Arabidopsis thaliana: one gene and its partner. The protein of the gene in region 2 binds, or shares a complex with, the protein of the main gene of each other region. Each region holds a gene or a part of one and is shown on either strand. Other genes may lie near its edges. The genes, in order: MYC3 and JAZ10. A codon is read from its position in the direction of its gene.

Region 1 (4,885 bases), about 15 Mb from region 2:
TAGTTAGTAATATGTTTCTTGTTTTATTTTAGTAAAAGACTAACGAGAACTAATCTAATTTTAGTGAAAAGTGTATATTTGTAAATTCGATTTTGGGTAACACACACGTTGCATGTGTAAGTAGGGATATCGCCTCACACGTTAATTAACAACTATAACCTTCATAGAAATGAGAGAGTTTTCTGTCTTTGGTCGTTGGTTATAATCAAAGACAAATTTTGTAAGAATTAACAATAGTTGTTGTCATATATATTTTCATTACAAAATTATAGTGTGAACGAATGAGTGAACAACTATTTAATATACATATACCTAAGATAGATGAAAGATGGCTATAATTTTCTAACATCCTTTAAAGAGGAGGGGTCAACTTTATGGTACTACATGAAAAGTATTTTTCAATTTATTATGAAAACTTAAGTTGGTGGTTTTTAATTAGAACTCATCAATGGTGGAGAAAAGTAGCTTATTGGCAACTTTCATTGTTGATTATGCAGTAAATGTTCTTCATGTTTGCAGAAAATCAAATGCCTTCACATTTTGGTTTAAACAAAAATTTGAGACTAAACCTACTAGCAAATTTTCGGATTTAAATTCAAATTGTGATACTACAAACTCAGTTCCAAAAAGAATATTCGGAAAATCTTGATTTTTGCGGTATATATGTTACTAAACTACTTAAAGACTAGTCGTTACTAATGTACACAAGACTATAAGAATTAAGAAACATAGGTAGATCACACGGCTCTCTAAACATAGAGATATACTCAAACTCACACATAAGATAAGATAAGATAGGCACTAAAAGACTTCCTACTCATTACTTAAAACTAACAAATCTTTGGTTTAACTTTTAGTTTCTTTTACAAACAAATCACACATGTCTCCACATTTTTGGCATTATAAACAGTTTCCTCATACCCCCTTACAAAGATAAGAGCACTATCTCTAGGCAAAACCCATTTACAACCACTTATTTTCCTCAGCTTTTTGGTACACTACAGTTCATAAATTTGGACCTTTATGTACACTACAAAGTTACAAACTAACAAAAAAATTCAATCATAGAATAAAAAAACTTCAATAGAATTTAGGATCTCACTTAATCTTACTCCATACATATATATACATACAAGTACAACCAAAGATTTTATTATTTCGCTAACTCTCTCTGGTCTTCTAGTCTCCAACTTCCTTCTCACTTAAGGCTTATGATAACACTAAGCTAAGAACTAAGCAAGTTCTCCTAATGAACAACAACATTTAACAACATGAAGCGAGTGATGCAAAATGAGTACTTACTACTTTACAAAAGACCATACATTACCCGCTAAATTCGATCCCATTTCATCGATGAAAACACTAGTTTCCCCTCTTTGATATGCCAACTTTGTTCAATAGTTTTCTCCGACTTTCGTCATCAAAGCAACTTTGAGCTGGTCATGATTGAAAAATTGGCTCCCCATCTTCACCGTAGCTTGTTGAATCATCAAATCATTCACAACGGATAAACTCGCATGATTCACTTCCAAATCCAATTCCTTAAGTGCTTCCATGAACCTAGCACCGGGATGATCTTTCTTGCCGCATTGTACACGTATCATCACATCCCAACCTATGATCTTAACATCAATCTCCATTTCTATAGAACTCGCCGTAGAATCTTGATTCGAACTTTTCCGTTCTTTTGCCCTTGACCCGCAACCTTTCCCATTATTCCCTTCCTTACTCATCCCATCTAGCTTCTTCTGAATCTCCTCTTTATCAGACTCCGCTTGCTGCAGCTTCGACTTAAGCTCATTGATATACGAAATCGCGTCTCCGAGAAGCGAAGCTTTATCCATCTTCGAAACGTTAGGAACAACAGCTCTCAAAGAGTAGAATCTCTGGTTTAACTTCTCTCTTCTCTGCCTCTCTGCTTCAACATGATTCAACGGCTCTTCTCTCCCATTCGCCGGTTTCCTCCCCCGTTTCCTCGGCTTCTTCTCCGGTGGCTCAACAACAATCGCTTCCTTAACAACAGATGCTTCAAGATCAGAATGATCCGAATCATTCGCAGCTGATCTAACCACAGTACTAAACGAAAGCATCCCTTCATCATTATTACTCCCTTTAGATACCGAAGTTCTCTTCTTACTACTCTCATTACCACAGAAACTCAAAGTCTCATTAGATTTCAACAACCCACCTTGAAAGGTCAAATCTTTCTCGACAAGACACGAACTTTGACGATTCTGATTCTCTACAGAGCTAATATCATTCTTCTCAAGCTTAGAAATTTGATGAGAATCAGACTTAGAATTAGAATTCGAGTTATTACCATTATTAACCCTCGCCGGAGATTCGATTCCGGTGTTCGTCGGTTCACTAATCCACAAAGCTGGATCATTCTCTCCTTGATCTGGATTCAGATTAAAACCCCACGAAGAAGCTTCAACACCATTGTTTCCACCACCGTTGTTGAAATTAAACAAGTTGTTAACTTTATGCATCAGATCTGAGCTTTGACTTATAACCTCCGACGAACCAAGCTCAACGACGCCGTTTTGAGTCGCGATACACACCATCGTCTTTAACCCGTAAATCTGACCTTGACCCGCTCTTTCACAACCCGACCCGGTTAAAGCACCAGACCCGGATAACCAAATCACACGAGAGTTTAAGAAAGATTCTCCGGGGAGACCAACACCGTTAACGAAGCTTTGAGTCATCGAAACTAAGAAGAACCATTCAGTATCTGTTACTTCTTCATCGTTTGATTCATCGGAAACCCCAATTCCGCCGGAGATTAACGAGTTAAGCTCACGTATTACTCTTTTCCGATGCTCTTGCTCCGCCGTGTTGGTGTTGTTCTTCTTCTTCTCTTTATCTTCCTCTCCTTTGTAGTAACCATCTCCCCAGCCGAGGATCACTGTGTTATCTCCGGTGGATGAATCGAAGTCGTGTGAGATCTGCCAGAAGATAGCGTAAGTCCAGTTTTCTCCGGCGGATTCTATTAAAGCTTGGAGACGTTGTTGAAGAGTATCTTCGTTGAACTGAGGCTGAGGTGGTTGTTGTGGTGGTGGAGGAAAGAGAGATGAGTGGTGGTTTGTTCCAATGAAAGCTTCCATAGCCGCCGCCGACGCGTCATCGTCGGAGGTCAAGAAGTTGATTGATGATGTTGTGCCGTTCATGTGAACATACGCCGGTTGAAAAGGTGATATTTTCCGGTGAAAGGTGAAGACTTTTTTCCGGTGAGAAGAAGAGAGAGGTGACGTGTAGGGAGGAAAAATCAAAAGAGGGAAAAAGCTAAGCAAATGGCGTTTAGTGATTGTTTGGAGAAGATGATTCTCTCTACAATACTATATTTTATTTTTATTGTTTTTCTAAAACAATTGTAAATAATTTTTTCTTATTTTCTTAAGTTTTTGTTGAGAGTTGCGACATATTATATGACAAAAACCAAACGATAATAATTTGGTTAACTGTTACGAAAACGTAAATAAATTATTCATGGAGTGATAATTCTCGTTTGGACACTGTTTTGTCTGAAACATAACTTAGATCCGTTTATTATCACATAGCCACTTATTGTTTTATGGAGAAAAAACTAATAAATAATCCATTTATGGTGATATAGTGACTTAGAGTTTCGAATATGGACCAATGCTATAATTCAAAATTTCATAAGTTAGAAATCTAAAATATAAATTTTATTTTTCATATAAATTAATATTTTAAACTGCAAAAAAGAATTGCATTTTTAAAAGGAAAAAAATAGATTCTACTCAATTTATATCAATTAAGTTAGGAATTTAAAATAATATTTCAACTGATTTTATGTTAGTTATAGGAAAATAAATATATATGAAAAAACTAAAAGTGTTTTCTTTCTCCAATCATCTTTTTTTTTTAAATATCATTTCATTATGTTCATTTTATTAAAAATCAGTTTGAACCGTTAATATGAAATTTACGTTTTCAAATAATTATCCGGTGTAAATTTTTTTTTGGTGTAATGGTTAACTAAATATCCATTAATACTTCATCACACCATATATGAAGTTTGATTTTCATAGATTACAAATTATTGAAGATTAATGGAAACGATTTCTATCTAGAGATTTTAGTGTGGTGCATAGAACCGTATGTCGTAGTACAGTACCATCTGTCAAACTGTAAAATTGTACAAGCATCGATGTAAAACTATCGGTTGTGGAGTTGACTACGAAAACCATAAAAAGAAAACTCAAAAAATGATTTGCTAGTCCTAAAAATTATTTGTAATATATATTCAAATAATAATGTATCCAACAACATAGCAACTTCCGTTCAATTTTTGAAAGAGGAAGAAATTAACGTATAAAATTTGTATTTTCTCTATAAAATTCATATTCGAATTTATTTTTTCTTAGACATTTTAAATTGTTTTTTTCTTTTTTTAAATATTGGAATTATGTTGTGTAGCCCACTTTAATTGTTTGGGTCCTCTGTCTAGGCATCGTCTGTCTGCTTTCCATGTTTCTGTCACCATAATTGACATATCTATTTATTAACAATCTTCATATTTTTGTCACGGTATACTGTAAGTTTTCTTTAACCACATTTTTTTCATCAAATTTTTTATCGTTTGGCTAAAACTATAATGACCAACCAAAGTATATAATTTTTTAAAACGTTACATATGATTTTTTTGTCAAAGTTACACATGATTATTGACAAAGAACTACACATGATAATGCCAACCATTACTTATAAACAAAATATCCAGAAAAAAAAAGAAAGAAGAAGAAAAGTAGTCAGTGAAAAGGACAACATGTACAATAATATTCAATGGTTAATCACGATGGCTAAAATGATCCAGCTCACGTGATTCTCGTGGATGATGTAATTACAAAACGACTTT
Region 2 (4,877 bases):
ACACTCATAGTTCGCCGGAAACAATCACTCGTATCATCGGATCTCGGCGTTTAGAATTCAGAATCCGACGACTTTGGCGAGCAAACCTTACGCAAACTATGGATGGTATTGGAAATGAACGACAACAAGAACAACCGTTTCATTTACAGATTTACTTCTTCAAATGGGCTTTTCTTCTCTAAATGGGTTTACTACCTTAAGGGGCTTTTCAACTATAGGTTCAATTATATTCTTATGTAAGGGTACTAACTAGTGTGGGCTGTAAACGACTTAAAGTTTCGGCCATTTAGTTTTATGCAAGAAAAAAAATATAGATAATACAGTAATGATGAATCCACTATACATGTTAAATCCAATATAATAAATCCACTATACATTAGTGTTCTCATATTTCGTTTCAAGATTCGATTCAAAAAATTTGAAAATGTTAAATATGTGTTTCTGAGATTAAAGGCCAAAAGAAGGGTAAGGTCGTATATGAAAGGTGGACAGAGGGGCAAATTAGTCAGCTTGAAAAATACATCGACATTAAAAATCGGCAGCACTGACAAAACGTGTGATAACACAAATAAAAATAATCGGAAGAAAAAGAATAAATAAGGCGTATTGACTCTGGAACGTGAGAAGATGAAAGAGAGCGACGAAAACCTCTAAAGACTTATCGAGAAGTGCACCTTAGCCTAGTGAATAATGATATGTATTGACATTAACTACTACTACTACAGCTCCCAACACGTGAAAGACATGCATCTAACTCTTTCACTTTCGGTTGCCAAGAAAAAAAAAAAAAAAAAACTTTCACTTTCGGCATCAAATATATACTACTAAAAAAGTTTTTTATACGTAATTCTTTTTTAATATTTGATTAGTTCAGAATATTAATTAAAAAAATTACTTTTCGTAATCACTACATTTTGTAGTTATATGATTTTTAATTTAAAATAGTAAAAAGGAGAAATGTAACTAATTAAGCTAACATGCGCGCGATAGAATAAGGTGAAGTTTAAATTTGAGCACAAGATAGAAAATTGAGGTCAATTTAATTCGGAAGTGGTTCAAGGTATATTTTCACAAGAAAGAAAAACGTGAGTTCATTGAATCCCTCTATAACTTTACTTGAGAACAATGTAATAATATGTAAATCTGTTAGGAAACGAGCAGCCACATATGCTTTAAACAAGAGAACAAGAAAAAGAGCGGCCACATGTGAAAAAAAAACACCAGCCAAAATGTGAAACTAAGAAAAGAAAAGAAAAACCATCGACATCGTCCAAAGGATCGACCCGTCTTTTCTGGTTTGGCAGAAAACAAACTTCCAAGTTCCGACTTGACCTAGTCTTTATGCATCTGCAGTGGTGTTTTCTTTAAATCTTTTTTTGAATGGATTTGAAAATCTTATTTTTTCTTCTTCTTTCAAAACACTAACTGTGAATCACCACCAACATTTTATTGTTCTAAAATCCCTATTTGTATGTTTTATTGGTTACTTTCCCAAATATGATGAAAGTTTATTGGTGTACTTTAGTTTAGAAATGTAAGAAATTTCAGTTGTATTATTAGGTCAACCAAATATTATTCTTGAATAGTAATGTCAAATTTTGTTTATATTGAAAAATCAATAAGACTGATATCTACTAAATGTGATTTGCTATACTAGTAGAGCTAGTAGTAGCAAGATTAAAATTCATATTAAGAAAAAATGGAAAAGAAAAACATGTTTCGAGAAAAATATACAGATCAGAGACTAGAGTAGAAAACAAATATAATGTCAGAAGAACCCAATGTGACGAACAGTAACAGAAACATGTTACCAAATTTTTGAAGATATATTTTTATAAAACATTACAATGTTCATTGGACTTCCGTTATTTCCGGATATAAAATATCTTCTTTCTGCGTAGCAAGCAATTACATTACATTAGGTATATTAAGAATTTAAACATGTGTTTTGAATCATTAAATTAATTAGATAAGTAAGAGAAGAGGTTGGGAGCCTAATAAAAACAAAACAAAAAGGAAAAAGTGGATAGGTTGCCAATTGTGCCGAAAAGAAAGAGAAAGCATGAACCTCGTGCGTTAAATAAGTATCAGAGACATACTACATTTTAAAAACTCTCACATGAGAAATCAGAATCCGTTATTATTCCTCCATTTATTCATCTCAAAACCCATATCTCTCTGTCTTGATCTCTCTCTCACTTTCTAATAAGATCAAAGAAGATGTCGAAAGCTACCATAGAACTCGATTTCCTCGGACTTGAGAAGAAACAAACCAACAACGCTCCTAAGCCTAAGTTCCAGAAATTTCTCGATCGCCGTCGTAGTTTCCGAGGTTCGTTTGGTTTTTAGTCGCTCTCTCTTTTTTTTTTCTTGCGATAAATCGAATTTATTCATATGGAACTCCTGCAGATATTCAAGGTGCGATTTCGAAAATCGATCCGGAGATTATCAAATCGCTGTTAGCTTCCACTGGAAACAATTCCGATTCATCGGCTAAATCTCGTTCGGTTCCGTCTACTCCGAGGGAAGATCAGCCTCAGATCCCGATTTCTCCGGTCCACGCGTCTCTCGCCAGGTATTTTTGTCTTTCCGGTAAAGTTTTTTTTTTCTTTCTAACTTTTTTGGCGCTACCAGAAAAGACGAAAAAATTTGAAATTCAAATTTTCAAAACATTCATTTTCCTCAGGTCTAGTACCGAACTCGTTTCGGGAACTGTTCCTATGACGATTTTCTACAATGGAAGTGTTTCAGTTTTCCAAGTGTCTCGTAACAAAGCTGGTGAAATTATGAAGGTCGCTAATGAAGCAGCATCTAAGAAAGACGAGTCGTCGATGGAGACAGATCTTTCGGTAATTCTTCCGACCACTCTAAGACCAAAGCTCTTTGGCCAGAATCTAGAAGGAGGTTAGTATAATAAAAATAAAAATCACTTAGTGCTGGATTCTTCTAGAATTTTAGTTACATATTATTGCATGTAGAGATCTAAGAAGAGTTTGTTGTTAGAGAGGAATTGGTTGCTAATTAGTTTGGAATTAGATATCAAAGAGTTAAAGACTATAGTTTATGTCTATACGTATTAATATACGTTATTAATAAAAGTATAAACATGTTGTTTAATTTCTGATAAGAAACTGGTTTATGCGTGTGTATGCAGATCTTCCCATCGCAAGGAGAAAGTCACTGCAACGTTTTCTCGAGAAGCGCAAGGAGAGGTAATGATTCTTCAACAATCCAAGGATTTTTACCCCCAAATAATTAAAGAAAGGTTTTTATTTTTCTCTCTCTCGACCTTTTTTTTACTATAAGTTATTTAAGATAGTAATTATGGGTCCTGCCTCTTTTACTCTCACATACAACTTAAGATTCAACTAGTTTTGTTCAACAACGCACATGCTTATACGTAGATAGATAATGGAGATCAGTAGTAATATCGGTATACGTAGGTTACTATTGTAATGGAACTTTTAAAAAGCGCGTTGACTTTGAGTCTTTGACTCTAGTTCTGTTTGCTACACCGACAAGTTATATTTTTCAAAATGATGAGAAAACGAGGAGAAACACCGGAAAAAAATTTGAACTTTTACTTTTATCAGACCATACGGCCAAAGAAAGATCTGTATATTATATAAGTTATCACAAAACGCGGTTTCACATTTTCTTTTTCGTCTTGTTGTGTTTGCAGATTAGTATCAACATCTCCTTACTATCCGACATCGGCCTAAACGATCTCTTTTTAGATTGGGACATGGACCAAATTTGTCTTTTTCAATCGGAAGACATCCATGTTCGTTTTTGGATTTGGCTTATTTCCAATCTTCTTTTGAAGCCTTCTTCGTCGTTGCTAAATCGTATACTATTCACGACAAACGTTTTTAGGAGATTACGTTACCTACTAAGATTATATATATTGGTTTGTTTTTAAAAATGTCTATTATCTTTATTGTCATTGATAGCTTGATTTAAGAAGCTCTCTCTTATCCCGTGACCTTCTACTTTTGTTTTATTTTTTAGTATATGGTAAAGAAAATTATAACACGCCTCTTTTAGCTTCTCATGAAGCTTCCGTATCAGAGTATTATTAAAGGAAATGTGGCCATTCATCTTTGATTATATTGGTTGGTCTCTAGCTTGGGTTGTCCTAATTGTTATAATGGAAAACAGTTTAAGAAACACGTGAGTATTAGTTATATAATACTATCAAGTCTACCCGACTAATTGTGTCTTTATGTCAAAAGTCTTTTAACATGAGTTTGGTGGAATTTGTACATTGGAATGAAGATGAAAAGAAGTGGTAAAGTGAACGTACTTTGTGTGGCTTCTTTTAGACAATTACCCCTTTCATTGAATAGTATCCATCACTAGTACTAACAAAAAAGGGATGGCTGGTCCGGATTTAAGAAACAAAAACCACACAACCATTCACTGCGTCTTCTTTATCATTGAAACCAAGATACTGTAGCTTATTGATATGAAATAAATACCACCATGTGCATACGTGAGAGTTTTTTTATTACATGTAGTTTCTTAAAAATGTTTTCGTGTCTCTTTAAGTTGTGTCAAGTAAATTGCTTCTCATTTAATCTACTGCGATGACATAAACTTAGTTTGCACATTGCAATGGCTAATGAGAGTACTAAACTTACATCATGTTGTTTAAGCTTTGAAGATGGAATACCGTATATCAAGTTTTAATTAGTAGCTCTGATTCAGATGTTTGGTTTAGATTCAGATTCAGATTAGTCAAGTGTTTGGCTTTGGTCAAGTTGACTGCATAAGCCAATCCTAATATCTTTGATTCATCACGAGTAATTCAAATTAATTATTTGATTCGATTTGGTCCAACACCAACAGTTTATCCTGTTCGTCTGGAAAAAATC

Evidence for each region.
Region 1: the proteins of JAZ10 (region 2) and MYC3 are in contact, whole or in part, in a crystal structure (PDB 5T0F), measured with the Arabidopsis thaliana proteins. Residues at the interface, in NP_568287.1 of Arabidopsis thaliana: Arg34, Ser35, Phe36, Arg37, Ile39, Gln40, Gly41, Ala42, Ile43, Ser44, Ile46, Pro48, Ile50, Ile51, Lys52, Leu54, Leu55, Ser57; in NP_199488.1 of Arabidopsis thaliana: Gln53 (codon at 3,017), Trp92 (codon at 2,900), Asp94 (codon at 2,894), Gly95 (codon at 2,891), Tyr96 (codon at 2,888), Tyr97 (codon at 2,885), Lys98 (codon at 2,882), Gly99 (codon at 2,879), Glu100 (codon at 2,876), His117 (codon at 2,825), Arg120 (codon at 2,816), Val121 (codon at 2,813), Ile122 (codon at 2,810), Glu124 (codon at 2,804), Leu125 (codon at 2,801), Asn126 (codon at 2,798), Leu128 (codon at 2,792), Ile129 (codon at 2,789), Ser130 (codon at 2,786), Glu142 (codon at 2,750), Glu148 (codon at 2,732), Trp149 (codon at 2,729), Phe151 (codon at 2,723), Leu152 (codon at 2,720), Val153 (codon at 2,717), Met155 (codon at 2,711), Thr156 (codon at 2,708).

What each region holds. Positions count from the first base shown.
Region 1 is NC_003076.8:18,972,519-18,977,403, reverse strand, and holds MYC3 (Basic helix-loop-helix (bHLH) DNA-binding family protein), read right to left. Parts: upstream 3,383-4,885; 5' UTR 3,174-3,382; coding exon 1,395-3,173; 3' UTR 814-1,394; downstream 1-813. UniProt on the Arabidopsis thaliana protein: Transcription factor involved in tryptophan, jasmonic acid (JA) and other stress-responsive gene regulation. With MYC2 and MYC4, controls additively subsets of JA-dependent responses.
Region 2 is NC_003076.8:4,216,781-4,221,657, forward strand, and holds JAZ10 (jasmonate-zim-domain protein 10), read left to right. Parts: upstream 1-2,047; 5' UTR 2,048-2,220; coding exon 2,221-2,332; intron 2,333-2,409; coding exon 2,410-2,904; coding exon of another isoform or gene 2,905-2,909; exon of another isoform or gene 2,910-3,154; coding exon 3,155-3,216; coding exon of another isoform or gene 3,217-3,259; 3' UTR 3,260-3,682; coding exon of another isoform or gene 3,683-3,722; 3' UTR 3,723-4,133; downstream 4,134-4,877. UniProt on the Arabidopsis thaliana protein: Repressor of jasmonate (JA) responses. Interacts with and suppresses RHD6 and RSL1 transcription factor activities to negatively regulate jasmonate-stimulated root hair development.